Rhinolophus ferrumequinum: one gene and its partner. The protein of the gene in region 1 interacts with the protein of each later gene in a pairwise test. Links are inferred from orthologs where the notes say so. Each region holds a gene or a part of one and is shown in the gene's direction. Other genes may lie near its edges. The genes, in order: AP1B1 and AP1G1.

Region 1 (16,070 bases):
GAAATAGCCAACCCTCAGGGAGTTAAACTACAGGCTAGGCTGGGTGGTACTTTTCCACTTTTATCCCCAAAGGGGTGTTAGGCAAAGGCCAGTCTTTGTCTCAAAGTATAGCTTGTTTTCAAAGAGATCAAGCCAATGTGCCACGAGTACAAAAACAAAGAAATAAGCCTTACAGCCTTCACACACATGCACAGGTTTTTCTGGGCCTGCCAGGAGGGAGTGGCAGAGGCTGAAGCCACATGAGACAAGAATATTAGCCTGGCTGAGGAGCTGGGTGAGCAGTTTTCTGGTCACCTGGCAGGCCCAATGTGTGGCTGTGGTGACCTGGATCCTCTAGGGGGTGACCTGAGCCCATCAAGAAATCTGTTTTCAACCCAAACAGCATTTCACTTCCTGCTTCAGAGAGCGGAGAGCCAGGGCTATGGAATCAAATGGACTGTGTGATTCAAATTCCAGCCATAGATAATGATGCATTTAGTCTGGAACAAGAATTGATGTCTACGGTGTGTACCCTGCACGCCAGGCATTGGGCGTCCTTTGGTCCTTGTGGCAGCCCTGTGTAGTGGGCATCAGAGGAAACAGAGGCCCAGGAAAGGCAACTGACTTGCTCGGGGTCACACAGCTAGAAATGGCAGAACCTGGGTCCAAGCCCAGATCCATGTGATTCTGGGCTGGGCTCTTCCCAGCTCAGCTCTCTATTCCTGCTGTATCAACCTCTATGACCTCACCTATGAAATGGGGATGGCTACGGAGCCTACCCGGCGCGCATGTGCAGATTAAGGGAGATCGGCCAATTAAATGATTTTTTGTGTGGAGTCTGGGACATGATGAGCTTTTGGCAAATGGCACCACCATCATCACCATTATTACTAGTAGGCTGGAAGCCACCTGAATGATCATCCAATCCAGCCCCCTTATATAGATGGGGAAACTGAGGCCTGAAGAGGCTCACACAGTGGCTCACACAGTTGGCACGCAGCAAAGGAGTAATAGAAATCTTCATAAGGCGAAGGCCTGCCACCTCCAGCCTCCCCACCCCGCATGATGATAGCCTCCGGCCTCCCCATGAGTGTAGCCCCAATGCGAGTCCCAGGGGGCACTAACCCAGCTTTGTACCCCCAGCTGCCCAAGGTGGAGCAGATGGAGCCACAGCACCAATAATTCCTACAAGTACAGCTGGCTGCCTTGCACGTGTGAGTTGTCCTATGCAACCTTGGAGACCTCCACTCCTCTACCCTGAATTCTTCCTACCTCCCAGACGCCCTAGCACTGTAGGGACTGCCTTCCTAGACGTAGCCCCAGAGCCCCCTGGTGGCTGTCCCGGGCCCAGCTGCAGATGCCCGTCTGGGCATCATGGCAGTCCAGCTCAGCCCCACCTGGGAGCCCAGCTCACAGGTTTCTCTTGACCCAGCTGAGTTCTAGAGCAGGATCCCAACCCAGATGTTGAGGCCCAAACCCTGCTCCTGGGAGAACATGATCCCATCTGGTGGTGGTGAGGATTCACACCCACCCACAGATTCCCGTCACCAGTTTTGTCCCCAGGGTGCCCCAGTTCCAGGATACCCCTTGACCAAAGTGCCTCTATGATCCGGACGATTGGGTTTTTATGTAGGATTCTGGGTTTCCTTTTTGTTTTGTTTGGCCCTTGGTTCAGCAGGTCACTACACCTTTTTGTGGTCGGCGCCAGCTTGGGAGAAATCTGTCCTCCTCCAGCCACTGAGACAAGGCAGTTAGGCAAGCTGGACTCTGAGCAGGCCGTCAGGAGGGGCAGAGAGCTGTAATGTGGGGTAGGACAAGAACGTACTGGAATCCACAGGCATAGGCTGGAGCCTATGTGGCCCGTCTGAAACCAGGTGTTCTTGCTGCTGCTAACTTGGTAGTGTGTGCACACAGGCGTCTTGGAGAAGCCGCGGCCCTTCCTCACAGAGCTACACACCTGGCCTAAGAGTGAACGGCTGATCCGGGGAAGGTGGGCCAGTTACAGAGCAGTTGCAGACCTGCCCCTCCCTCATGCCAATCTGCTTCAACGTGTGCAGGTCACAAAAAGGGCTGCTGTTTTGCTTCTGCCCTCCAAACCTTGCACAAGAACCTCTCCTGTGGCCCACCCAGGGAAGAGTATTCTGCGACATGTCTTTTAGCCTCGCCATATTGACACATTACACATCCATCACGGCTCTGAGGCATCCATCGTGATCCTTCCAGCTGCTGATGTGGATTTGTCAGTTTTCTCATGTCCCCCTGCCCTCCCTAACTCCCATTACCCGTCAAGGAAAAGAGTCCAGGCTTTGGAGGCCCACATGTCTGAGCTCAAACTCTCGTTCTACCATGTATGAACTGAGCTTTTAGCCTCAGTTTCTCCATCTGTAAGATAGGGATAATAATGGTACACAGCCTGCAGAGGTAACATGAGGATTAACAATAATTCACATAACGTACCTAGGATGCTGTGTTCAGGTAACCTAATTAATATTAACCTAAAGGAAGGACAATCAATACATTTCATCTGCACTTAATGAAATCATGGTCCAAGGGTAATTTATTTGGAAAAACGGTTGACTGCAGTGCTGGAGCAGAGAAAAGACAAGATGAGCCTGGAAACCTCTTGAAATACCAGAAAGTAAGAAAATCCTGAAAAAACATGATGAGGGCTTGTCAAAAGGAGCCAGGCTAAAAAAATTCCCAAGGGCCAAAGTTGGACAAAAAGATCAACAAAATAAATGATTTAATTGGGTGATAACTCAGAACAAAATGTTCATGAGTTCATATGCATAATAAATCATTGAATTTAAATAACTCATTGACTATGGATAGAAATAAACCATTGAATAAAGCAATGGGGACAAAAGGAGAGCTCTTCCTTACCGTAGAATTCCAATGAATAAATGTAGAATGAGAGAAATAGAAAAGTCATCATTAGATCAGCACAACAGAGATGTCTCACAGTACTTCCCCATAAGATATTCATTAATTACAAAGGAAAAATAGTAACTTTATAGTGGAGAAACATGGCAGACACTCTCTCAACCAGGAGACCACGGTTGACATCACCAGTAATAAGATACAGCAAAATCATGTATCGCGTCTCCCCTGATTATGATGCTCCAAGAAGAGCACATAACTTTTGTGCTATTGCCAAAAGCGCATCATGCTTAAAATTGATAAAACAAAGGAAAAACTGTCACAGACCGGAGAAGACTAAAGAGATATGATGATGAAATGCAATGTGGGATCCTGGATTGGATCCTGAAACAGAAAAAAAAGACTTTAATGGAAAACTGGTGAGATTTGAATAAAGTCTCTGGTTTAGTTAGTTATAGTTTACTATAGTTACAGTGTACTATGGTTAGATAAGATGTTAACATTAGAGGAAGCTGGGTGAAAGGTTAATGAGAACTCTCTACTATTTTTGTAACTTCTCTGTAATTCTAAAAGTATTTCAAGGGCTGGCCCGGTGGCTCAGTCGGTTGGAGCGCGTCCTCTCAACCACAAGGTTGCCGGCTCAACTCCCACAAGGGATGGTGGGCTGCGCCCCCTGCAACTAACAACAGCAACTAGACCTGGAGCTGAGCTGCACCCTCCACAACTAAGACTGAAAGGACAACAACTTGACTTGGAAAAAGTCCTGGAAGTAGACACTATTCCCCAATAAAGTCCTGTTCCCCTTCCCCCAAAAACATAAAAAATAAAATAAATAAAATAAAATAAAACAAAAGTATTTCAAAATGAAAAGTTTAAAATAATTTTACAGGTTCAAAAGGAAGTACAGTGGAAAGTCCCCTATCCTCCCAGGTCCTTCAGCCACCAGGTCCCTTCCCCACAGGGATTAATGTTATCAGTTTCTTATGTTTCTTTCCAAAATAATCTATGAGTATGTGTATGCGGCAACTAATGTAGATTGTATCTACCATGTTGTTTAATCTGTTTGTCGTGCTGGCCTCTGACTTCCACATTCCTCAAATGCCTGGTGATCCTTGGCTGCTTCCTCAGCTTTAAGCAATGCACTGACAGCTAAGTGACAGCTCTGACATGAGTGGGCTTGTCCACTGTGATTCTCACTGCCTCGGAGCCCTGTTTCCTCTCTGTTTTTACTGTATTACACCCCTTACCCCCACTACCTGGTGTTCCGTGGTCCAGGGCCCTCTGTTTTGCTCTTTTCTGAGATCTTCTGCTGGATGAGGGGGTACATAACGATAACGTCTTCTGGTCAGCGTCAGGGAAGGATCTGGCGATGTCTAACTCCTTTTCAGACTTTCAATCAATCCTGCAAATTTTAGTGCATTTTTCACTCCTACTTCCAGACGTTTCTGGTGCCACCAGTTCCTGAATCTTTGGGGGCTCTGTAGTATAAATTGGGTTGCTTTTTGGCTTCCATCTTCGTGGCTTAGGATTCAGCTAAGTTCTTAACCTTTTATCCATTTGCTTTCCCATTTCTAGTGTCTTTATCATTGTTTCCTTTCTTGTTCTCATGGCTTTTGTGGATTTCTACCTTTAAAAATCCCTTTAACCAAGTGAGATACCTGTTCACACCCATTAGGAAGGCTATTATTTAAAAAAAAAAATCTGAGAAACAGAAAAGAAGTGTTGGTGAGGATATGGAGAAATTGGAATTCTTGTACATTGCTGGTGGGAATGTAAAATGATGCTGCTGTTGTGGAAAATAGGATTGCAGTTCCTTCAAAACTTAAACATAGAATAATCACGTGATCCAGCAATTCCACTTCTGGGTATATACCCTAAAGAACTGAAAGCAGGGACTCAAACAGGTATTTATACACCCATGTTTCTAACAGTATTGTTCACAGTAGCCAAAAGGGTGGAAGCAACCCACAAGTGTCAATCAGATAAATGGATAAACAAAACGTGGTATATCCGTATAATGGAGTATTACTGTCATAAAAGAATGGAGTTCTGACATACACTACAATATGGATGAACCTTGAAGACATTGTGCTGAATGAATAAGCCAGACACAAAAGGACAAATGTTGTATGACTCCACTTATATGGGGTACTAAATCCAGAGAGACAGAAAAGAGAATGGTGGTTGCCAGGGGCTGGGATGAAGGGAGAATAGGGAGTTAGTATTTAATGGGTTTAGAGTTTCATTTTGGGAAGATGAAAAGAGTTCTGGGGATGGTTGTTGGTGGTGTTTGCACAACAGTGTGAATGTACTTAATGCCACTGAAGTGTACACCTGAAAATGGTTAAAATGAGGGGCGGCCAGATGGCTCAGTTGGTTAGAGCCCGAGCTCTCAACAACAGGGTTGCTGGTTCAATTCCCAGATAGGATGGTGAGCTGCACCCCCTGCAACTAAAGATTGAAAACAGCGACTGGACTTGGAGCTGAGCTGCGCCCTCCACAACTAGATTGAAGGACAACGACTTGGAGCTGATGGGCCCTGGAGAAACACACTGTCCCCCAGTATTCCCCAATAAAATTTAAAAAAACAAAAGGTTAAAATGGTGGGGCAGCTGGTTGGTTAGAGCGTGGTGCTCTAGCAAGATTGCCAGTTCGATCCCCACATGGGCCACTGTGAGCTGTGCCCTCCACAACTAGACTGAAACAACTGCTTGACTTGGAATTGATGGGTCCTGGAAAAACACTTAAATAAATAAAAGTTTTTTTTTAAAATGGTTACAATGGTAAGTTTTATGTTATATACACTTTATCAAAATTCTAAAATTCCCTTACTATTGTTTTGGTGGGATTTCAGAAGGGAGCATAGTTACATGCATAGAAGTTTCAGGGATTATTTAGAAGAGAGTGTTTTATTTGCCAGGTGTAGTTGGTTTGCTGGTTTTATTATTTTTAGTGTTTTAGAGTGTCATCAAAGAATGATGTATTAATTCCAATTCTTCTATACTGGAGTCTATTGACATTTTCTTTGTGCCCTAATGCATGGCCTTTAATAATCACAGTCACTACTGCTTATTTAGTGCTTGCTGGGCATGGCTCTAAGAACATTACCTACAATATCCACTGTAATTCTCTTGACATCTGTGTAAGGGGACTAGTCCCATTTTCTAGTTGGGGAAGCTGAGGCTCAAAGAAGCTAAGTTATGTGTTCCCAGGTACATAGCCAGGAAGTGGCTGAGTTGAACTAATACTAATACAAATAGAAGCTCCCATTGAGGAAGGGGCTGTTTATAGGTTGCCAGGCACTGTAAGTTCTACAATTTAATCTCTTTAACAACTTTGCATGGACACCCAATCAGCCCCATTTTCCAAATTGGAAAGTGAGGTCCCACGGCTGGGAATTTGAACCCAGGCGGGGTTCAGAGGCTGGGCTTTTTCAATAGCACCAGCAAAGGGTGGTTCAGTCCTCTCAGGGGCAATTGAGAGGGGACAGCAGACCCTTTGAGAAATGGCCTATGGTGGCAATGGAGCCAGGAGAGGGTGAGCAGAATTTTGCTCCTGGGAAGAACAGGGATGGGGGAATGCGAGCGTTTGCAGCAGGGAGAAATGGGGGCAGAGGAGAGGTCCCGGGCAGCCTCTAGACCCCTCTGCCATGGGGGCTGTGCCAGGCCTGCCCTGGTTGGGAAGGATTTGGAGCTGTCCACCCTCAGCAGGTGGGGGGCTGGCCCTGTTAGTGAGGCTGTGGACAAAGTCACCTCCTGCCTCCTTCCAGAAAGGATCTGAGGCAACTTTTAGAAATTTGTAGGATAAAAACAGCAAGCAAGCAGAAAATGAAGGAGAGGAATAGAAATCACATAAGAAGAAGAATCTAGAAAGCAGGTCAGTACATAGAAAGTCATTCTGTGAGCTGCCTGTGGGAAAATTTCACCGGAAGGGAAGGGTGGCAATTAATGTCACCTGTGGGCCCTCTAGTGGGCAAAGATGGAAAGAATACTTAATTCAACATACAGTACTTAGTATTATGCATCAGTGTGGCGATAGAGTTAGAAGGATGGGCTCTGAGATTCTGTGTGTCAGAAAGAGAAAGGGACTTGCTGAAGCTCGCAGTAGCTGAAGCCCAGCAGCAGGTCCTGCGTCATTTCATGACATCACAAGTACTTCCAACCTTCCCCTGATTGGATGAAACGTCATGAAGCAGGTAAGCATGGGGCAAGGGGGAAAGCATGGACCCACTGTTCCCTCGTGAAGTTGGGAGAGTTCCTCAGCTTCTCAGGGCCTCAATGTAAAGTGGGGGTTATCATAGTGCCCACCACTTGAGAATGGTGATAGATGTCAAGAACATACAGTGGTACTTGTCCCAGGAGGGGTTCAGAGTTCTCCGAAAGGAGAAACTAAGGTCCAAAGAGGTTGACAAACCTGTCCAACGTCAGCCAACTCAATAGGGAAGGGAAGAAATGAATAGGGTTTGGAGAAAAGTTTTAAAACTTCCTCCTCCAGATAGGAGGGGATGTTATTGTTAGTAATGGTGTATTTGTCGGGAGAGGTTGTTTCTCTCTCCAAGTGGGCTTGACCGTCACTGGCTCTGCTCCACCCATCCTGGAGCAAGGGGCTCCTCCTGGGCCCGGGGTCTCAGAGGGCCTGTGTGGACTACACGTGCCCTAGATGTGACTGTTCTAGTTCTAGACACAGCTCTGAGTGTTTGATAGTGAGTGTGATTCGAGTAGGTGGCCAGCTGGATTCAGTGGTGGAGATGAAGAGGGAAGCCCCCGAGAAGCCTCTCTTCCCCACTTCTGTCTTCCACCTCTGCAGGCTGTAATTATCTAGCCTTTGGCATTGAGCTGTGTCTCTTATTAGTATTATATTTTTAGCTCTCCTGACAAACTGAGCTATGGGAGAGGAGGCCCAGGCCCACAGGGAAGTGGCGGAGAAATTGGCTTTGCCCACTGTCCTAAGTTTTCTCATCTTTACTTGGGGACAGTTGTGGAATCAAATTGTTAGGAGAGTTCAATGAGTTAATATGTAGAAGAGCCTAGTACAGTGCCTGGTTCATGGCAATTATTAGTAGTAGTAATATCATCCTTCACAGTTCAGGCTGGATGTCACCTCCTCCAGGAAGCCATCCCTGAGTTTCCCAGATTGAGTTTGGTGCCCAAGTCTCCTATACGTCCCTGGTCCTTCTGAGCTGTGTTATAATTGTCCTTTTATTTGCCTCTCTCCCACACTTAACAGTAGTCCCAAGGAGAGGTTGTACCACTTCGTGTTCACTGTTGTATCCCCAAAATGGCTGGCTCAGATAAGAGTGACAAATATATTTTAGGCGAGTGAGTAGGACTTATGAAGCACGTATTCTGGGGCTCTGGGACCAGTCCCTCAGCTCTGCCACTCAAACACTGACTTAAGCTTTTGGAGTTGCAGTTTGTCCCTACCCAGATAAAATGGGGCTGATGTGAGGAGCAAATGAGACCCTCTGCCTACCGACTACGGGCACATAAACATTCATTGTTGTTTTGCAAATTCAGATTAAATGCCCTCCAATTGTCCAGACCTCCCCTGGTCCTTTCAACCCTGGGGGAACTTTAGTTCCTGCTCTGGATTCCCATAGCCCCAGTGTATCCCCTATCACATTTGTGTCTGCAGCTCTGTTACTCTCCCTGGACAAACTGTAGGTTTAGCAAGGGTAGGGCCAATAATACCAGCACGGGCCAGGGAGCTGTGTCCTACACAATTAGACTGAGAAACAACGGCTTGAACCTGAGTGGGGCATTACAATATAGTCACAGGGATGTTAAGTACAGTGGAGGGAATATAGTGAATAATATCGCAATAACTATGTAATAGTGCTAGATGGGTACTAGACCAATTGCGGGGATCACTTTGTAAATTATATAAATGTCTTACCACTATGCTGTACACCTGAAACTAATACAAAATAATATTGAATGTCAACGCTAATTGAAAAATAAAAGTAAAAAGTATGTAAGAAAAAATAAAAATAATAAAATATTTTAGAAGACAAAGTTAGAGATGTGTACTTGTGTTTAATAAGGCCTTTTTGCTAATTAAAGTCTTTTATGCCCATAATGGTGTAATTAAAATGTTAAAATGTGATGCTCTCATTCTATTAATAGCAGTTTATCTTCCTGGAATTAAGATGTAAATAACAAACCCAAAAAACATTTACTTAAAATATTTTCTGGGTTAATTGCTTTAGCCCTGACTACTAAATTCTTTGTTCCTAAAACGAAAGAAAGAAAAAGGAAAGAGAAAGAAAGGGAAAAAAAAGAAAAAAACTATAAGGAGGAGAAAGTTAATAGAACAAGTGGGTAGTGAAGTGGCTATGGGAATCAAAGTCCTGGCAGAGCCAGCAAAAGGGAAATGGGGGGGCCGGCCCGGTGGCTCAGGCGGTTAGAGCTCCATGCTCCTAACTCCTAAGGCTGCCAGTTCGGTTCCCACATGGGCCAGTGGGCTCTCAACCACAAGGTTGCCAGTTCAATTCCTCAAGTCCCGCAAGTCCCTGCAACTAAGATTGAACACGGCACCTTGAGCTGAGCTGCCGCTGAGCTCCCGGATGGCTCAGTTGGTTGGAGTGCATCCTCTCAACCACAAGGTTGCCAGTTCAATTCCTCGAGTCGAGATGGTGGGCTGTGCCCCCTGCAACTAGCAATGGCAACTGGACCTGGAGCGGAGCTGTGCCCGACACAACTAAGACTGAAGGGGAACAGGACTTTATTGGGGAACAGTGTGTACTTCCAGGCCTGTTTTCCAAGTAAAGTTGTTGTCCTTTCAGTCCTAATGAAATCTTAAAAAAAAAAAAAAAAAAGGGGAAATGGGACATTATGAAGTTCTCTTTGGATAAAAGTTCCTTGGAGGGTCTAGTATTTTCCCCCTACAATGCAGAATTTCCAAAGGGCTGCACTGAAGGGGAACAAGCGCTAGACTAGACTTGTAGCTCTAGTTTTGACTCGTCCATTCATGAGGTGAGTGATCTTGAGCAAAACCCTGCCCCTCTCAGAGCCTCAGTTTTCCCCTCTGCAACACAGAAGGAAGAGATGGACCTCAAAGTCTCTACCCTTTTTTCCATCCACGTTAAATTACTGAGCGGTTAGGGGGCTAATTTTTCTCAGCGCTCTACAGGAGACATTGGCGAAGCCCTGCCGCGGCTAAGAAGGGGTTAATTCCGAACGGTTCCGCCCCCTTCTGGCCCCGCCCCGCGGACACCACCTCCCGCTAGGGTGACACCTTTGACCCCGCCCCCAGGCTGTGCGTCCACCGGAAGTGCCCGCGCGCGAGCAGCTCACTTCCGCTGGGCAGGTGACAGCCGCGGGGCTCGGAGCAGCTGGCGGCAGGGACGCACCGGGAGAGCGGGAGGACGAGGCCGCGGACATTTTGCTGCCCAGCCGAGCCGCGCTGTTTTGCCAAGAGCCGTTCGCACCTGCGGGTGAGGAAGCGGGGAGTCCGGCGAGGTTGGAGAAGAAGTGGGCGGGGAGTCGGGGGTCTGAGGTGAGGGGTGTACGGGGTCATAGGTCACGGAGGTGACGGGGCGCGCGCGAGGGGCGTAGAGTGGCTTCCCAGGCTCGGACGAGCCTGAAGGACTGCGGGTTCATTCATTCGCGCCTCCCTGGCCGCGGGCCTGCACTCCAGCCTCCTCAGGTCCGCAGCCCCTCCTGAGGTGTCCTCCCAGAGAGACTTCTAGACTTAGGCCCCGAGGAGCCTGCGCCGGGCCAGAAGGGAAACTCCCCTTCGGGTCCTCGTATCCTCCTTTGTACTCACCCCTCTGGCCATCCTGAGGCCTCCTCGTCGTTCAGGTCCTTATCTCTTTGCCAAGGTTCGAAAAGGGGGAAAAAAAAAAGAAATCAAGAAACAGCCGCCTGCTCCGTGGTGGCCTTGGGTTTGGTCTGTGTGTCGGTGTCTCATGGACAGGTTAACTGAGGGCATCTGTAATAAGACTAAGAATACGGAGGCAAAAGCTCGCTACTGGTTATTGAGCCCCTGCTGTGCGTCAGGCGCTGTGCTAAGTCCTCTACTTGCAAGGCAGCACATAAACTTCACAACGACTTGTGCGGTAGCAAGTGTTGTTATCCCCATTTTATCAGTGAGTAAACTGAGACCCAGAGAGGTTAAATCACACGTGGTAAGGTCAATCGGGTAGTACAGGCAGAGCCAGGGTTCCTACTCAGGTTTTCAGGGCCCCACAAAGTGCAGAGCAAAAAGACGCTGCATCAAGGTCGGGGTATAGGGGTTATTTAATATCTTTAATTATCATTATATTTCTTGGCACCTACGTAAAGATGTCGCCTTATTGCTTCTCATCTAACATTCTTAAGGGGCCTTTGATTCACCTTCTTGAGGACGAAACAGCCCTTCAGACTATTGCTGTGATAACCTTTCAGGGCCAGTGGAAGTTTTTCCTGACTCTTGGGAACCATGAGACACAAAACAAAAAATCCATGACTCTAATTTAAGACGATTCAGAAACTCTCCTTGAGAGGGGTTGAGCTGCACTCCTTTTGGAATAAAGAGACGAGCTACATGACCCCGAGGGGATCTTTTGGCCCTAGTTCTTGAACAACATTCTCAAAAGAAGGGTCTGTGTCCCTCAGAAAAGTGCCGGCCCCATAACTTTTTGGCTGGGGAAAGCACGTGTGGCCTGGGATACCGGGAGGTGGTTTGGTGGGCTGAGAACTGGGCTCTGTGAGGCTGCGCCTTCGTCCTGTACAGACACTTACTTGCTCCGCTTCTGTCTCACTTTCCCTGACGGTAGCATGAGAAAAACCTGCTGCCTTCCTACCCACTCCTGCGAGTTCCAAGACTTAATGAACCCGTGAAGGTTTCCACATGCCGCTGAAGAAAGCTGGGCTGTAAATACTACTGTAATACCTTTTTTTTTTAACTTTATGATCCGTTCTCCTAGTTGCACAGAATTCACAGAAACTTAATATTGTCACCTTATCCCTCTCCTTCCAAGAGAGGATTTGAGATGAAGGGACTTGTCACAGATGTAGGAACATGAGCAGAGCTCAGAGCATCTGACTCCCTGTCCCGAGTTGAGCCCACCAGGCTCCCCTGATCTCTTAGAAACTCGTGAAGAGCAGCTTCACTGGTTCTCAAAGACTCGGACCCCTCCGAGGTTATGTAGGGACGCTCTGCTGAGTGTGGGTTGAGCAGAGGGCTCGTGTATAATGGAAAACGCACTCCCATGTCCCCATCAGGGAACCCTGGGTCCCATCCCCAGCTCAGCAGATTCCTGGTAGTTTGCCCTGGGCAATTGATTGAGGCTGGGCCTCCCTTACCTCAGCTCTAAAATAATCCTGGCCGCCACTTTCCTTCCCCTGCCCCCAGCACTGGTGGGTATTGGGGTGAGATGAGGAAACTTGTACAGAGCCTGTTATTGTAGTGGGTGCCTTAACCCGAGGCAGTTGATGCCTGCTGGGGGCCTGTGCCTGGGGAAGGCTGTCACTCTGGTTTGTGGGGTGTTACTTACTTCTGCAAACAGAGATCTTTATATACACAGGACTTCTATCCTTCTGGTTTCACTTCCTAAAAGTTTTCAGAACAAGTGCAGTCTGTTAGTCCTGCTGGCTTTGGGCTTGGACTTACATCTTTTTCTAGTCATCCTCTGAAACTGTTGCAAGTCTTAATTGCTCACTTCCCAGAAAACCCCACCGCCCAGCCCCAAAGCCAGAGGTGCTGACAGTGTGCAAACATGGCTTGGGTATGGGTTTTGCTCTTTGGTGTGATTCTGTAAGCCGAGGGGGCCTCTGTTATTTGAAGATGTTTCTTTTTCTCAACAGGTCTTTTTAGCTAAGATAGGTCACGGATAAATTATCACAACCCAGAAATGGTTTTTGTATTCGTTTTCTCTTCACGCACAGAGGAACAAATAGCTCCAGAGAGAAAATGTCACTCGAGCACTTGGGGGATCCTTTTTAAAAAATCCTGCTTGCATATCCACGAGTGGTTCCTCTTTTCCCTCAGGCTAAACTCACATTCCTTAGCATTGCATCCAAGGCCTTTTGGGCCATGACCCCTGCCTGGCTCCTACTCCACGCTTCCACCTCCTCCCAGGCTCCAATCAAATTCAGCTGCTTTTCTGCAAAGCTCCAACTCTTTATACCTCTGTGGCTTTGCTTTCTGCTGTTCCCACTGCCTGAACACCATTTCCTGTGACCATCCTCCTTTGCTGGACCACTTGTTGGTGCCTCCCATCTGATCAATACCCCCTACCCTGCAGGCCTGAACTAGATGCTCTTCTTTGATGTGGCACTGTTCACAGTGGGTTGTTATTGCTTGCTTGGCTCTCTTCTATGTAAAAGGCTCTTAACTCTTGGAGAGGACTTGTCCTGTCTGTGTCTCCAGCACCTAGTAAAATGTCTGGCACGTGGTAGGTGCTCAGTCATTGTTCAGTGAATGAACAAATGAATGAATTGTCAGGATTCCTCAACTCCTAAGAAATTCAAAGAAATTCCAGATGGTCTCCGTCTATCCTCATGTCATCCCAGGGGACAGGGAGAAATCTGAGCAGTGGTGGTATTCACTATTATCAAACTACTGTTGCTACCACCCAGTGAGCCACCAACATGCTTCAGGGCCTCCAGAAACCTGGGGGTTGGGGGGGTGCTGGTGGTAACGTCTCTCCCTGTATAGTAGTAATAGTGAGTAACATTTATCAAGTACTACGTGGCTGGCCACTGTTGAGAGCTTTGTATGTATGGACATGTTTTAGGTCACAAACCCCTCAAGTATGTGACATTCTCATTTACAGTTCTGGCATGTTGTATCTGTTATGTTGTGCAGACCCCTGGAGAGCCCCTGTCCTACGTGCTGTGGCCACCTTTCCTTTCCCAACCCCTTGTTCTTGGATTGTCTCCTGTTATTTAATGGAGCTGAGGGGGAGCTTGGCTGTTCTAGACTTCCAAGCCTCATGCTTTTTGGGTTTTTAGCCTTGGGTTTGACCTTGGGCTTGCCCTTCATTAAAAGGGTCTCCCTGAAATCGGTAGACCTCTTCTATTAAGATAAGAGTATGGCTGGTCGACTCCAGAATGCTCAGAGTTTATCATCAGCTAGGATGCCTTAGTCTGATCCCCCAGGTTACCATCTCCTCTGTGGACTTGAGCTGGAAGGTGGCAGATTTGGAAGTCAGGTCTCAAAAGCTTTAAAACCAACCCTTCAGTGTCCATTTGCAAGGCTGAAAACGTTAGTTACAGCTGAGCTCTGTAGAGGCATAGACTTGGGTAGCACATACTTTTTACCACACCCTAATTGCTTTTGGGGTCTTAAGCATATTGAGAGTGGAATGACAAAATTGCATTATAGCCAGCTGTTGAGTCTGCTTCTTTGGTCTTTATTCTCTGATCGCTAAGCCCTGGGTGGCTGGATGGTGAGACACTGAGCACAGAACCTTCATACATCCAACATTCATTCATTCAGTGTTAATTTCAGACCCTGCTGTGTGCCTGGCACTGGGCTAAGTGTGAGGATAGGTAAACAAGCCAGACAGTTTCTGGCTTGGGTTGCTTACTACATTCTAATGGGGGAGAAAGACAAAGAAGAAATAGAAAACAAACATTAAAAATTAGAAAACCTGATAAGCTATGAGGGAAACAGAAGCATAGCAGCCAGCACCTGTTAAAATGTAAGTCAGATTTCGGGACTCCTGCTCAGAAGCCTCAGTGGCTCCCAGCTCACGCAGCGTAAAAAGCCAGAGTCCTTACCTGGATCTGGAAGGCCCCCTCCATTCTCGTCTGACCTCATACCCCCCTACACCCCTCCTTGCTCACTCAGCTCCAGCCATGTCACCTTCCTCGTATTCCTCAAGCAGGCCAGGCACACTCCAACCTTTGCCCTGACTATTTCTTATGCCTGGACAGTGTCACCTGCCACTTCAAGGAGGCCTTCTGTGGCCTCCCTAGTTAAATTTCAACCTCCCCTCCCCCACACTCCCTATCCTCCTTCTCTGCTCTCCTTTTCTCTGTAGCAGTGAATCACTATCCGAGATGCTGTGCATTTCACAGTTTTTCTTGCTGAGGGTCCCGTCTGCCATTAGGATGTGTGCTCTATGAAGGGAAGGCTTTTTGTCTGTTTCATTCACGGCTGCATCCCCAGCATGTAGACCTGTTTATGAACTGCGGGAGGTGGTCAGTAAACGTCTGAATAGGGCTACTGGGGGTGAGGACAGAAAAATTGCTACTTCGTGCGTGCAGGAATGGTATCTTTGAAATGATGTCAGCTAAGCTGAGATTTGAAGGGTAAGTTGGAGCAGCCACTCTAGAAGCTGGACGGGATAATCCAGGCAGAGGATCAGCATGTGCAAAGGCAGTGAGAGGTACACAGACGTTCCCATGGGCCTAAAGGCTTGTCGGCAGAGGGAAGGGCCCAGCTGTGCTCACTTCATAGCCTGTGTCAGAGCCCCCGTTAAGCCTCTCCCCCAGCATTTGTCCCCCACGTCCCACAGTTCTGGTTACTCTGTGAGCTGATGCCTGTGGAGCAGGGGACGATGGTCTGGCCTCCCTGAGGGAAGTGGCCTGGACATGTCTCCCAATAGAGACATTGCCACCTGATCTTCTACCCTCTGCCCTTTCTTTTCCCTCTTATAATTTATTTACTTACATTTATTGGCTGTAATACGGGTGATGGGGTTTGGCATTTTCAATTTCGATTTTGTCAAAATAGCTTGACAACCACATTAGATGTACAGTCTGATCCTGGCAAATGGAACCCTGGGAAGTGGCTGTCTAGCTCAGGATGGTTTTACAAAATGTGAAAGTTCCTCAAGAGGAGAGTTTAGCACTAGTCATTCTAATATTTATTGAGTCCCTACTATTTGCCAGGTACCAGTCTAGGAGCTGGGACTACAGTAGGGAATAAAAGGGACAAAATCCTTCTCCTCATGGAATTTATAGTATGGAGGGAGAAAACAATAGACAATACAAATACATCTTATAGAATGTTGGTATTACATACTTTGAAGAAAAAACTAGATGAGAAAGAAGACTAGAAAGTGAGGTGGATGTGTACAATTTTAAATAAAGTGGTCAGAGAAGGCCTCAGTCAGAAGGTGACATTTGAGCCAAGATTTAAATGAGGTGAGAGACTAAGTCATGAGGCTATTTGGAGAAAGAGCCTCCCTGGAAAAGTAAACCATGTGTGCAAAGGTCCTGAAGTAGAAACATGCCTATTTTGTTCAAGGGTCAGCAAAGAGGCCCATATGGCTGGAA
Region 2 (15,098 bases), on another chromosome or scaffold:
TGGTCCCTCCCTCACTTCTTTCAAGACTGTATTTAAGTGTTCTCTTCAATAAGGCCCTTACTGCCTACCTTCTCTAAAATGTCAACTTCTTCCCTCTTCTCTGCTTTATGTATTTTTCTCTATTGCTCTTATCTTTATCTAACACACATTTTGTGATCTTTTTTGTTATCTGTCTCTCCCACTGGAATATCATCAGCTCCATGAGGACAGGGACTGTTGTCTGTTTTGTTCACTGTGACATTCCCAGTACTGTGCCTGGTTTATATTAAGTAGTCAATAGAGTTTGTCAAATGAATGAATAAATCCAGAGTACCACTGTTAAGGTTTGATGGCCTTTCTTGTAGACATTGCTATGCATATTTATGTCTAGCTTTTAGTCATTGGTGTACCACAGTGTCTGACATCTTAGGCACTCCAAACACAGCCACTGAAAGAGAGAGAGAAAGAAGAAGCACGTGGGCCAGAAAAGGTTGCTTTTCATCATCATTGACTTACACTAAACTCTAAGCTTCATGAGGGCAAGACCCATGTCTCTTTGCTCACCGTTTCTTCCCCAGTGCTTCCAAGAGTACTTGATATGTAGTCGGTATGCAATAAACAAATGTGAAATAAATTGAGAACCCAATGTGATTCTTACCCTCTTGCCTTAGGCTGAAGCCGCAGCAGACCGGCTCAGTGTTGAATTTACCAACGATGTCAAGAAAGGTGCCCTTGGCAATAGCGGTGGAACTGTAGCAGGATGTGGTGATTCACTTGGGGCATCTGCCAATGTCTGCATCAGGGCCCTTACTTGTGCCATCCCCAGTTCCTTGTTTCTCATCCCTTCTTCGTGAAAGACAGGTCAGTATAGAAACTGAATCTGAAATAGGAATACCAAGTGCTACTAGAATGTATTTCTACATGAGCCTTTGGAATAATAACATGATCTTTGTGAAGTTTCTTAAGGCCAGAGGGCATATTTGTAATCATTAAGCTTTTATTTGATGTGTTTTTATGCTGAATTCATGAGAAAAGAGGGCTATACTCTTTTATCAACCTCTTGACAAGGCCACACTACAGACTTCAAAGAACATTTGTATGAGCTGGACAAATTCGAAAGTCTTTAATGTACAGTGATTTAGACTCCTGTTTCAGTTTAGATATATTCAATTTACATGTCATGAAAACAGTTTGCTTTCCTGTTGAAAATAGTATAAAAATGTCATAACTGTGTATGTTCATAAATCTGAAGAAGTCAAATAAGTGAAACCTAAAGAGACATAGGCATTAATTTTCTTTACTGTTTGCTCCTTCAGTATGAAGTAAAGAGAAATTGTTTTATTCTTTTCAACTTGTTAGGCATTTCTGACCCCATGAAGCTCTTTTTTTTTTTTTAAAGATTTTATATTTCAGATGTAATTTAATTCTGATTTTCCTTGTTGAAATTATTTGTCTGAATAACACCTTATGTATTGCTCACCTTCTACTTTTGGCATGTAAGTCCTCTGATTTAAAAATTAAACAAAGAAAACTTTATGGAAAATTTAAACATATTCAAAATTAGAATAATATAATGAACTTCCATGTACCCATCACTCATTTTCAACAGTTGTCAACATTCTGCTGCTCTTATTTCATCTAGCTATTTCTTCCTAACACTTATTTTGAGAGAGAAGGAATTTAAAGCAAATCTCAGACGTTATATGATTTCACCTTTAAATACTTTAATATGTATCTTTAACACATACCCTTTGTTTTTACAATATAAAATAATGTCATTGTGATGCCCAACACAATGAAAAACAAATCCTTAATATCATATAGTATTTCTTACTAAATTTGTTTATCTCAGAAATGCATTTTTACAGTTATTTTGGGGAAATCAAGATTCACATATTGTATTTGGATGATATGTCTCTTAAATCTTTTAATTTCTAACACTTCCTTCTTTCTGCCTCTTCTTTCTGTCTTGCCATTTATTTGGTGGAAAAAGATTTCATTACACTGAATCATCTTTCACATGTAGCATCTCCAGGTTCAAAGATAAAAGATTTCCCAATTCTTGTATGAGGCCACAGGTGACAAAAGAAGCAAAACCCAGTCCCTCCTAAAGCTAATTTCCAGAAGGCATAAAAAGAACTTCACCTCAAACAAGAAGGAAGCTTGACTGTGATAAAGTTAACTTAATTTTAAGAAATATATTTATTGAAGGCTTACTATAAACAAAATCTGTCTTGGGAAACTCAGACCAGTTGCTTACCAGTGATTTTTTTTCCCCCCAGAATGACTCCTATGAAAAGAATGATTTGTTTCCTACACTGATTCCTAGTAAGTGTAGGGAATACCGGTGTTAGTTGAAATTGCTTCATATTTGTTGAAGGGATTTTAATTGTTATAAGACTATTCACCCCTCCATTGGTGAGAGAAGTTGTAAGTGATTTACCAAGAGTGTAATGTGTTCCTTTATGGTAACTCAGTTATCAAAGTGAATGTGGATCTCAAAGAGATCTTTAACACAGAAAAAGTTTTAAAACCACTGCTGCACTAGATCATCCTGTCACCTGTTTTGAAAAAGTGTGGGTTTTTTTTTTTTTTAAAGTCCAGATTGTCCTTGAAGGAGATAGCCAGCAAAATGTAAGCACTACCATAATTTACATGTTGGGGGAATTTTCTAGTTTTTTTCAGCCATATTATATGCTGTTCTCTCAAAAGCATTAAGAGCCTACTGTCTTTGAGGCTGGAATTTCATTCTGGAGGACACATTGTTGTCGCTTTTAATTACATTTACTGAAACAAACAGGTCCAGGATTCAACCCCCAAACTTCTCCACAGACAGAATCAAGAGCCAAGACTGGTTTTGGTGACTTTGTACTGCCTGATTTGCCTGATGTAGAACCTCAAGCGAGCCTATCTATTGACTTATGATTCCGAGGAAATCGATTTTGAAGATTTTAACTGGAGACTTGAAATGCTGAAGAAACCCACATAATTCCTTAGTCCTGGATTGAGTATTTACCTGGGAATTAGGACTCCTGGGCACAAATTTTAATATGGCCACCGATGTGTCCTTCTGAAGTTTTCTCATTTATTAATACAATTCCTTCTATCTCTTAAATTCTATGGTTCTCTGTCTAATAATGTGTGTGTGTATACATATATAATCGTACAATTATTCTTGTTCCTTAAAATTCTGTACTTCTTATATGAAGATTCCTCACCTACAGAATTTTATTAATTGTAGTCAATAAACTTTTGTTTTCTCCTGGATTCTTATTTCTCTCGTAATTATCACTTTTTCCAGGGAAGCAGAATGGTGTGTATTAAAATCTCATCTCTGTGCTTAGTAGCTATAAGACTTTTGGCAAATGGCACCTATCAGATGTGCATAAGAGAGCTAAGGAACTAGAGGGAAGAAAATGAGTATCTTAAGGAATGTGCAAATACTAAGAGTGAATGAGAGAAGTGTTGTCAGGAAATCAGTGGACTCCTGCATGCCTCGCTTCAAATTTAGACTCCACCACTTGCCAGCTGTTAGCCTCCTTTATCTCACCTGTAAAATGGGGACAATAATGAGGATTAAAAGAAATAATGTATATAAAGCTCTTAAACACTTAGTAGGTGCGCAATAAATATGTTTCCTTTCTGGTTTCTATTATTTGCTAAGTTCCAGTGGACTCAATATTAGTGATTCTTTGAGACTGGATAAAGGAGAGGCTAAGAAAACAAGATGGCCAAATTAATTATTTTTTGTTTGTTTGTTTCTTGTGTAACTGGCATTTTTGTCTGTTTGTTTTTTTTTCTTTTTAAGAAACTCTATTTTTTAGAGCAGTTTTAGGTTCACAGAAAAATGTCAAATTGATTTTAAATGCAATGATTAGTTATGCAAAATCTTTATTTCAGAATCCTATTTTATGTGTCCAGGAACATTTACATGGCTCCTTTGGCATGTGAAAAAGTGAAATCTGGACACCAATTTCTCTCTTTCAAAAAATCAGTTTGCTCTTGAGATTTTTATTCTAGGATATCCTCCTCTTTATCAAAGAACAAACTTATTCAAAGAACATGGAATTAGAGGGAGGATCTTCCAAATCCAAGGCCAGGGACTGATCTGCACAGCAAGTTGGCTGCCTCTCCTCAGGAGTAAGGCACTGCACCCTGGCACCGGTTGGAGTTCTAAATCATCCTCTGGCATGTGTGAGGAGCTTGGCGGGGAAGGAGATTGCTGTTCCCTGAACTGGGTACCAGGAACTGGGTGCCCCAGTTACCGTGGATGTCCCAACACTTCTTGGACTTCCCAGGCTCATTTGAAAGCAACTTGCAGGACTGACTGATTTTAAAGAAACAAGGATGGGACTTTGCACCTAAAGGAGAACGAAACCAATTTACTGTGGATCCTTCTTGGCATATAATGGTGTCCATATTAAAGCAATAAAATGACTTGAGTGGGAAACAATGAGTCAGAAGCTCTGTTTTGTTTCTGGATGGTGCATCTTCTCCAGTGGCGTCGGTTTTGTCTTCCCTAAATGGCAGCATGGCACCATTTCCTCAGTTAGTGTTTGACTTGGTTGCAGGCTCATACCTGGTGAGATTTTTTTCACTCAAAAAGTTCCAACATAATACAGAATCATTTACAAACCAAGTGTAACTACACTACAAAAAAGAAAATATAACCTAAATATGACATAAAGCATCTCCGGTGGTACTTCAGGCTGCCTCTTTAAAAAAAGTCTCTAAAGCAAAGAAGGAACTTGGCCAAGCCTCATATCCTCTTTGGTCTTTACTTTGAAGGAACATAGAGTAGATTTCCCCATGTTCTTGGTAGGAGGTCAAAGAGTGTAAGGAGTTGGCTGTTAGAATCTTAAGTTTTACATCAGGATTTTGTCATAACTGAAGGATTAATTCCTAAACCATTTTCTCAGGCCAGGATAAATGGTGATTAGGGACCATGCTTAAAAGAAATGTGAAAATGCTTTTTGCAAAAGCATTACATAAATGACAGAGGGACTAATTTCTCCCTGACTTTCAGGCTTATTTATAGATTCGTCACTCAAATGGTAACAAAACAGGCCAGTGGAACTGCCTCTTTGACTCACGACACTGCATTTCCTATAGGGTTGCGTCTCCTTTCTCTACTGAGATCTCTGGCACATGGAGAGCAGGAAGAGTTCCCTGTGGAAGATGCTGACCATATTTCCACAGAGAGGGCTTTCCCCATCTGCTGTAAAGGTCATATGGCTTCAGCTGATGATACTGAGTCATTTAAGAACCCCTCTGCATCTAAGTCCAAGAGAGATGGTTCCCTCCGCCCCCCATTGCTCCCCCCACCTTCCTCCTCAGGACCACAGAGTCCAACTGCATGCCATGTCTTCCAAAAGCCCTCTTTCACTGCTGTAGCTCCTAGTGATCTCTCACTTTTCTGCTTTTTTGGGAACTCAGATGTATCTGCTGAGTAATAATATCACTGATTTTTTTGGATTTGGGGAGTTTTTAAAAATCTGGTTTTCCTCAATGAGATTATAATTATCTGGAAAGTATGGATAGTCAGTCCCTTTTGAAATGCCTGTTATAGATTCTGTACACCCAGAACAGCATGATGTAGTTGAAAGAGTCAGGCAACATGTTTGGTGAATGGTTACTATATGCGCCAAAAGATATATTCAAAGTTGAAAGGTTTAGATTGGAGTCTGGTCTTTGCTGTACGTAGGTGTGACAAATCATTTCATTTCTCTGAGCTTCTGTTTTCTCATCTCTAAAATCGGGATAATAAAATTTATCCTAAAAAGAGATAATATTTGTTGAGCCCTTACTATATATCAGCTGTTGTCGTAATATTAATACTTTAAATGTATCAGCTCATTTAATTAACACACCAGCCTTAAGATGCCAATGCTACTATTAACTCCATTTTACAGATGGGGACACTGAGGTTCAGAAATGCTCAGAAATGTTAAGTAACTTGCTGAAGGTCACACAATAAAGAGAGGAAGAGCAGTTTTAAACCCAGGCAATTTAACACCAGAAACCAACACTTTTAACTATTCTATAATGCCTGTATGCTTTACAAACTCATGGTGGGTGAGAAGCAAATGAATCAATGCATATGAATACACTTTTGTAAATTGTAAAACATAATGCACTACTGTTACTTGTAGTGGGCAATCAATAAATGCTTTAGTTGAATTGTCAGGTGGCACAAAAAAGTTTTATACTTATATTCTCATGACGTTTGATACTTTTCAAAGTGCTTTCACACATTTGATCTCTCTGCATAATAGCTGCTTTGAATCCATTTTGGAATAAGGCTAGTCATAAATAAATACTGGCCAGCTGAGGAAATAGGCCCCAAGATGGTAAGTACTTTGCTCAGGGAACAAAGTGAGTTAAACCCAGCCAGGATGGGCATCCAAGTGGTCTCACTCCTGGCCAAAAACTGAAGTTTTGTTTGTTGTTATTATTTGTTAAATTGAACTGTACAAGGTATCAGTAATAAACAAGACCATAAAAATAATGATCTTTTCTCTCAGCCATTATCTCTTCCTAGAAATTTGTTTAATACTTTCAGGCTGTTGCTATTTTAAAAACAAAAATCTCTTTTAGCATTTGGATCCATAAAACTGCATTATCTTATAAGGTCTTTCTTTTTCAAAATGTAAAACATTTTTTTCAAATAAAAGTACAGTATGCTCCTTGCAAAAACAAAACATAGTAAAGTAAAAAATCCTCTAAATTCCACCATCCAAAGATAATCATCTTTAGATTTTAGTATTATCCTTTAACTGTTTTCCTATGTATATACAGTACACACTTTTTACAAGCTCATTTTATAATAATGTTTTGTAATGTTTCTAAAAATCTGTGAAACCATAATAACCTCCATTTTTATTGGCAGAATAGTGTTTCATTTTATTGATGTGTTGTAATTTATTTATCTGAAATTAGGGATTATGTTTGAGTAGATGGTGATTAAGTCTTCCCAAATTTCAATTGCTAGCCACAGAAACCAAAGATTCCAGGATAATGATGACCATGCTACATACTTGGTCAATTGCTTTTAGTTTTCAGTTACATTGAAGGAGGGGTTTGGTAATTATAAAGATAAATATAAGTTAAAAAAAATACATGAAGCGGGTTTGCCTTTTATAATGTCTGTCATTTTCTCTTTCATGCTCTATCATTGGCATGGTAGAAAACAGCTCCATCCTCTTTCTTAAGAAGATGGCTTAACTTTTCTTTTGCTGTTTGCGATGGTAAACATTTAAATTCAACCTCTAAGCAAATTTTGTCACGTTGCAAATGGAATACTTTAGCTAACTGCTTTGTAAATTCCTTACTTTTTTTTTTAAACCCCACTGCCCACCCTATAAATTCCTTACTTTTATGGGAGCCTCAAACTGTAGTACTTTAGCATGTGTTCATGCATAGCTATACCTCAGAGGAATCCATGTCAAGGCATCATTACGGTGTTCCAGTTTTGCACTACTATAGTCAGCCCTTGCTATCTGTGGGGGATTGGTTCCAGGACTCCCACGAATACCCAAATTCAAGGGTGCTAAAATCCTTTATATAAAATGGTGTCATATTTGCATATAACTTAAGCACATCCTTCTGTATGGTTTAAATAATCTCTAGATTACTTATAATACCTAATACAATGTAAATAGTAGTTATATTATTTATGGAATAATGACAAAGTCTGTACATATTCAGTACAGATGTCTGACTACATAGTACACATCAGCGACAATGTAACATTTTTCCCCCAAATATATTCTAGCTGTGGTTGGTTGACTCCTCCTAGAAGCAACTAGAGGATACTGAGGGCCGACTGTATTTAGGGCTGCACTGTGATCCAGGGATGCACTGTACAATAGTTGCATGGAGGGGATACAAGGTGACTGAATTCCATAAGCATTTTACTCCCCAAACCATTTGCCCTTGGTTGATTCCACCCTAAGTGTGGGTATGGGTGTGGGTGGGTGTGTGCCGTTTTCTAATTTGCAAGGTGGCATGGTATAGCAGAACCCCATGGGGGATGGGGAGAGTCTTTCACTAAGTCAGTTTCTCTGTGCCGCAATCTTCTTATTTGTAAAACTAAATTACATATGCCTGTCTAGTCTGACTCAGAAGATTGTTGGAAGATTAGATTATACATACAAAAATGCTTTTGATAAACAGTGTGGTATCAATATTTAATAAAAAATAATTACTATTATTATGCCCTTGATCTTTTTCTCCCCCCCAGCCGCTTGGCATGCCTCAGTAGTTCAAGAACAAAATTGTACAGGTGGGCCTATTCAGTTCAATTTTTGTAAAATCTTTTGAAATTCTGGCATAAGAATGGCTAAGAGGAAAAGTGTAACCTTTCTACTGTGTTTCCCCGAAAATAAGACCTAACCGGAATATAAGCCGTGGCATGATTTTTCAGGTTGACATCCCCTGAACCTAAGCCCTAATGCATCTTTTGGAGCAAAAATTAATATGAGACCTGGTCTTATTTTCACGGAAACACAGACCGACAAGTCCTAAAATCAAGATTTGTGGTTAGTTCAGTTCTCTTTGGCATCTACCCAGGTACTGTGCTTTATTCACTTTGGGAGGTTCACTTTATTGCCAATCTATCTGAAGGATTTTAGTTTAGGTAGGTCACCTTTCCTTTAAATGGGTCAAGCTATCATGGCCCTCTTTACGTTTACATGGAAAATATTCGTATCAGGTGTTAGTAATTATTTATCAAGCCAGGAACTGTCTGGTTAGCCTGTCTTTGGCTCCGTTCATTAGTTCATGGAGTCAGTCAGAAAGCCTACTCTGCAAGGATTTTAATTGTCACTAGTCCAAATCCTCTCAGTTTATATATGAGGAAACTGAGGCCCTGAGAGTTTAAATGACTTGTCCAACGCAGATGGTTGAGCGGTGGTACTGGGCTTGGAATCCATTCTTCGTGTCATCCTCCAACTCTTTTTGTAAAGTATGTTGCAAAGATGCCATAAAACCACAGAATCCAAGACCACCTGCTTCGCCTCTCGCACTTCCTTCGCTACCATCTTGCGAGCCCCGCCCTCTTCAGGTGACTAGGTCGCTTCCTGGTAGCCTAGGCGCCCCCAAGCGGAACCAATGTCGGTCGGCTGCTGGGTCAGCCGGATCTTTCTCGCTCAGACTCTCCGCAGCGGTGACTCGGCAGCAGCGTCTCGCGTCATCAGTGACAGCCCCGATTCATGCTACGCTTTGCGTCGCTCTGCCAGGCGCAGTCACCTCCTCCTTGGCAAATAGTCCTCGGCGAGGTTCGAGTTCTTGGATAATTAGAGAGGGGAGGCACGAGAAGTTAAAGTCAGAGGACGCGGAATCGACAAGGAGAGGAAGATAGGGACCGAAGTTTTTCGATAGTGTGTGAGCTTAGTTAAAAACTCCCCGCTTCCTAAGGATCCCTCCGCCTGCAGTAGCGGTGGTGAGGCCGAGGGAGCCGCCATTTTGGATGTTCGGTTCCTGCTGCCACTGCTGCCGCCGCCCCCGGAGCTGCTGGTCTCATTCGAGGTTTCGGGCCGGTGAGTGTCACTCGCGGCGCTAAGAATATATTGCTGCTTTTGCCCCACGCTTGCCGGTAGCTCTTGGCCGGAAGCTTCCTGTCAATCCCAGGGGTCCGGTCCCAGGCTGTGGGGGGGTGAGAAGAGAGGACAGAGGCTGGGCCAGGAGGGGCCCGGAGCCCCAAGGACTGCTCCGACTTCTTGCCGACCGACCCCCGAGGCCTCGGACCGGGAGGCACCGCGCGCGGTTGCATTCTGTGCTGTGGCGTTGCTCGGTCGCTGCGGGCTTCCTTGGACCCGTTGACTTTCTCAGGCTTCGATCCTCATTTGAGGGCTCATTCGGGGAGCCTGGGGTTAGCCGGGCGGGTCCCACCCCCGCGTGTCTTCTTGAGCCACGTATCAGCGTTCTTGTATCTTATACCCGGGTCAGGTCTTTCCTAGAACTTTTCAGAATTTCCAAATGCTAAGTTAATTCCAGTCTGCACCTGCAGTGTTGTCTTCTCAGAACCGGACATCGGCCTCGCCTCCCTTTAATCTTCCGAGCAACTTCTTTCCCAATTTTCCGGGTTTTTTTTGGTTTGTTTTTTGTTTTTAAACTCACCTTCCAGTACACTGCTTACCCTTCTCTCAAACTCCTGATCGTGCGTACATCAGTTTCTAATAATTCTCCCTATCTTCCCGACTGCCTGAAAGAGTTGGGACGCTTGGTTATGTTTCCCTGTTAGGAGATCCGTCGAAACACTCGCCCAGAGTGTCCTTAAGCAGTAAACGTTCATAAACCCCATTAAATGGCTTTTGGGAGGGGTGGTAGGGATAGGCTGTCAAGTGTTTTCTCATTTGTGTGTTACTTTCCTTTGCTGAACACTTAGCTTTTTGGTTCTTATTGACACTGTTTTTCTTGGTGTTTTATATCCCTAGGCATGGAAATCTGCCTGTGAAGAATCTTAATCTGATGTAGGTAGAAAGGAAAGTAACTTTTTTTGCTGCTGTAGGGATTAGTTAACAGAAGAGAGGAGTGAAAGAATATTTCTTAGTGAACTTAACTTTCAGGTGTTTTGTACAGTAATCATCTTTGTCGACGGATTCTAAAAAATACTTGGATTGACTTCTGTATTGGATTTTTCTGGATTTTTAAATACTTCTGTTCCTCGTAATATTTGTCAGACTGTATACACCTTAACTTTTGGTTTAAAAATAAAGACTCTCCAGGTACCCATAATCTCACCACTTGTATTCTACTCTTAACATATGTTTGCAGTGTAGCATGCTTGAATAAAAAGCATTTTACAGTAATTCACTGCTTATTTTCTACATTTCAAATTAGGTGAGTGATTGTATCACCTCTATTTCATCTTAGCCTGGGTTTTTACATCTGCAAAAGAGAAATGACTTATTTGAGATTACAGCCTAGTAACTGCTGAACTTAAAATTTATAACTTGAACTGGACCAAATATTCTAATACTTCTAATTCATGTCTAAGTGCATTAGTCTTATTATCAGGTAGGTACATTCCTGTACTGATCATATCGTGTATTAGTAGAAGACTGAATGTTTTCATTGTAAATAGTGTTCTTGTTATTTAAGACTTCTCAAAAATAGGCGTATTTACTCTGAAGCTGTGGAGTTTCTCTTTGTTTAAAGGAACTCTAAACCAAGTCTTTTACCAAAAGAGTTTGGTCAAACGTGGAGCATCTATGGAATGCTCACTCGTTTATTATTGGAAGAGTTATCAGATAGGTGTCATTTAATTCGGTTCATTTCATAACACAATGTACTGATATTTAAATGTCATTCAAAACTATTTACTAATGGTTTGCATTCAGTTGGAGAAAGTGTCTTTCTGCCTTACAAATTATAAGCAAAGTGCTGTTTAGTGCACTGTAGATTGATCAGCATAGACCTGAGCATCTATTTTATCTAAAGTTGTTGGGATTATACTTGAATGAAATTAACATTATTGTTTAGAAAACCTCAGTTAATTTTTGGGGGGAGCAGTTGCTTGTTCTTTAATCTGTTTCTTTGACAGCAGTTCTAGATTTGAGGGTGAATTTTAGAGTGAAACTAATGTACAGATATTGTCAGCAATGCCTTGGTAATAGTTCATCCTACTATTTTTAAAAGTAGTCTTGAAATCAGTGGTGTATAAAAACAAAAATCCAGGTTTTTGTGATTTATAAAAACTTTTTATGCAAATTGAAAAAGTTGAACAAGTATTTTCCAAAACATTATTTTTTTAAAAAAATTGAATTGTGGGGTGGCCAGATGGCTCAGTTGGTTAGAGTGCAAGCTCTCAACAACAAGGATGCCGGTTCAATTCCCGCATGGGATGGTGGGTTGCGCCTCCTGCAAATAAAGATTGAAAACGGGTAACTGGACTTGGAGCTGAGCTGCACCCTCCATAGCTGGATTGAAGGACAGCGACTTGGAGCTGATGGGCCCTGGAGAAACACACTGTTCCCAATAAAATAAAATAAATGAAAGTATAATTACTAATATCAAATAAAATATTTTTTAAAAAATTGAATTGGGAAACTACTTACCAAAACAGATTTTTGAAATGCTTAAATCCCGTTATTTGCATTCGATGAGGAATTTAAAATTTTGTGTATACAGAAGGACTTAATTGATAACAAATCTTTAAAATTTTTATTTAGATTTAGCTTCAGAAAATCTAAAAGTATTTTCTTCAAACTGCAGCAACTTGTTTAGTTGGTATTGGTGCTTTGTCAATTGTTTTCAGTTCTTGATTTTGGCTTTCTTTCATTGAAACCTTTGTTAATTCTGTTCAGTTTTTTTATGCAGGATATTTAAAGTAGGAAGCAATTTTAAAATTAAGAGAACATACAGATTTATCTAAGTTCTTATTTTTTTGGTTTACAAGTCTTGAAAATCATGTCTTGGTCAAAAAGTATTAGGATATTTTCATTTGCTTTTTATGTAGAAAATTTTATTTCAGTAAAGGCAGCCATTTCTATGAAAATAATGTGCAAGATTTTTTCTTCACTGAGGGAGTAACACAAAATACTTGATTTGGCATGAGTTCTGGTTACTATAAAAACTATCTCTTGTCAATGTTTGAAGGGTCCAGAAATGGGAGGGGGAAAAAAAACCACAACACACTTGCCAAACTTGTTGAGTCAGCATCAAGCTAACACTTTTGTATAAAAGGGTAAGGTTTAGGATAATATGATTGAAACAAGAAATGCTTTTTTCACCATTAGATACTTAGACGTTTTGCTTTCCCCAACCCAACTTGAACCATTGGAGAGGAAAATTATCAGTAAGTTATAAATATTGTCAGTGAAAAACAGGTTTAGAAGGAAAAAGTTACTGTTTTTTAAAAGAGAGAGAAAATATATATAATTTTTGTACTTTATGAATATTTAAAGACATCTTAAAGGAAAGTAATTTTTACCCCCCCCAACCCTGTTGTTACAGTGCAACAGTCACTGTGAAACCTGATAATGCAGTTGCTTTGCCTCACTCCAGCTTGTTGTAGCTGATTGTTTTTTCTATTGTACAAAGCATCCTAGACTTTTCAGCTTGTCTGGCTTTGAGGTTAATGTTATGGATTCCTGGGAAGAGTAAATATGAGAAAGGCATGAACTTAGATCTTTTGAACTGTAAAATAGTTGCACACCCCTTTTTATAAGCCTTTGGTTTAAAATTAAGACTGACATAGAATAGATGATGTACTATTTGGTTATAAGGTCTAACTTTTATAATTAATTACACAATTGTACACCTCAAAGTAAAAGGAGCTCCATTAGTGTTTTTACAACTCAATTTAGTGAAACTATTTATTAATTGTCACTCTTGGGAAATTGTTCAGTTTCAAGCTGAAGAAAAGTTCAGTTAATTTTTCTTATTTCTGTTACAAAGTCTGCAGAAAAGATTTGGTTCCCTTTTCACTTGATGAATTTTTTTGAAAACATGGTATTTTAAAAATCTGGTGAAAATATGGTTTGAGATGAATGGGGAAACTAACTGAAAATAATTAGGCACACTGTAGAGTAATTGAATCTATAGATATTATGTTTTTGGTATGATTATTGAAGGAAAACTTTGAAGTAGAAAGAGCCTGTTTTTTTGATAGTACCCAATATATGTGATGTTTTCATAAATGTGTATTTGTCTCTACCAGTGAATGCTTGGCGTCATTTTCTTTAGAAAATTTCCATGATGAAAGCTTAATAAATGGTGTTGATTATTTAAGAAAGTAGAAAGAGGAAGTAGCTTACAATTTGATTTTATTAGCATTTGGTTGTATTATTTTTATTTACACTCACAGAACTTTTTGCTGTTCCTTGACTACTCCATGTTCTTTCATTCTCCTTGAACCTGTTCTTCCTATAACTGGAATCTTTTCTTTCTCCCTCTACCAGTGAACCCATTCTTCCTGCTCTCTGTCTACCCCCAGGCAAAGAGGTGTAACCCTTTTTTTAGTACTTGTTGAATTGTCTACTTTTCCTTGGAATTGTCTACTTTTCCTTGATCTTCCAGAGGACAAAAACTATCTTAAATTGTGGCATTTCTAATACTTGGCACGGTAGTAGCTATTCTGCAGAATGGATGATATTAATAAAAATAATATGAAAAAAATTGTTCAAGTGCTCAGATAAACGGTAATTGGTCGATGCTAGAGCCCAAAGCAGTCAGGGTCCTGAGTGAGTTATGGGAATCTATTGCAGGTCCTTTACTTGTAACTGGGAGAGTTGATGTCAGTGAAATTTATTTTGAGGTTTAGAAAACATATACAAAACCTTGTCTCCGTGTCTTTGAAAATATTATTCAGATGTTTAATTCTGAAATTGACGTTATCCTTTTCTCTTTGTGATTTATCGAGACTTTTTCTTACAAGCTTTAAGTGGCAGCAAAGAAATCTACTCCTCCTGCCATCTTTTTTCTTTTCAATACCTATTTTGTAATTTGGTATGCTGAGGAAACTAATAGTAAGTTGAGAACTTTTCCCCCAAAATGGAAATATGTTGATAGTTCATTATTTGTTTCTGACTCTCCCCATGTTTTTGAATAATCTACTTTCATCGTGCTGAGGTTTTGGTTTTTGGTGTTTTTTATTAGTTTTTTTCGTCTGTCTTTTTAGTTTACAAAATAATAGGTATTCATTGTATTAATAATAAGTGAAAAAAATTAAAGTTATACTTTTTAAAAAGCGAATCATTTTCCTTCACTATTATACTCTAATAGCCCTTCACTATTATACTCTAACTATTTTATCAGTTTATAGGTATACTTCATTATTTCTCTTCATGCTGGGTCAAGTACTGTATATACAAACATAAATGTGCATATTTAGTGATTCTTTGTTTTTACAAAAGAGAGATATTTTTCGTATTACTCTGTAACAAGCTTTTCTTAACATACCATGGTCAGTAAATGTAATTCTATCTTGTTCTTTTAAATATCGCTATTGTGTCACATAGTAGATTTTACCACCAGAAACAGCACTACAATAAATGTCCTTGTACACGTCATCTTATTTGCTGGTGCTTTTATTTCACTTGGTCTTAGCCAAAAGGCCAAGAAGCGATGCTGGTGCTTTTATTTCTACTGACTTGAATCTCCAAGGTGGGATTTCT

What was found.
Region 2: the proteins of AP1B1 (region 1) and AP1G1 interact in a two-hybrid assay, tested with the Homo sapiens proteins (2 studies listed by BioGRID, with this or other methods). The link is inferred for Rhinolophus ferrumequinum from reciprocal best matches to the Homo sapiens genes AP1B1 and AP1G1.

The regions. Positions count from the first base shown.
Region 1 is NC_046308.1:18,830,398-18,846,467, reverse strand, and holds the start of AP1B1 (AP-1 complex subunit beta-1), read left to right. Parts: upstream 1-10,137; 5' UTR 10,138-10,294; intron 10,295-16,070. UniProt on the Homo sapiens protein: Subunit of clathrin-associated adaptor protein complex 1 that plays a role in protein sorting in the late-Golgi/trans-Golgi network (TGN) and/or endosomes.
Region 2 is NC_046298.1:20,872,288-20,887,385, forward strand, and holds the start of AP1G1 (AP-1 complex subunit gamma-1), read left to right. Parts: upstream 1-9,187; 5' UTR 9,188-9,518; intron 9,519-15,098. UniProt on the Homo sapiens protein: Subunit of clathrin-associated adaptor protein complex 1 that plays a role in protein sorting in the late-Golgi/trans-Golgi network (TGN) and/or endosomes.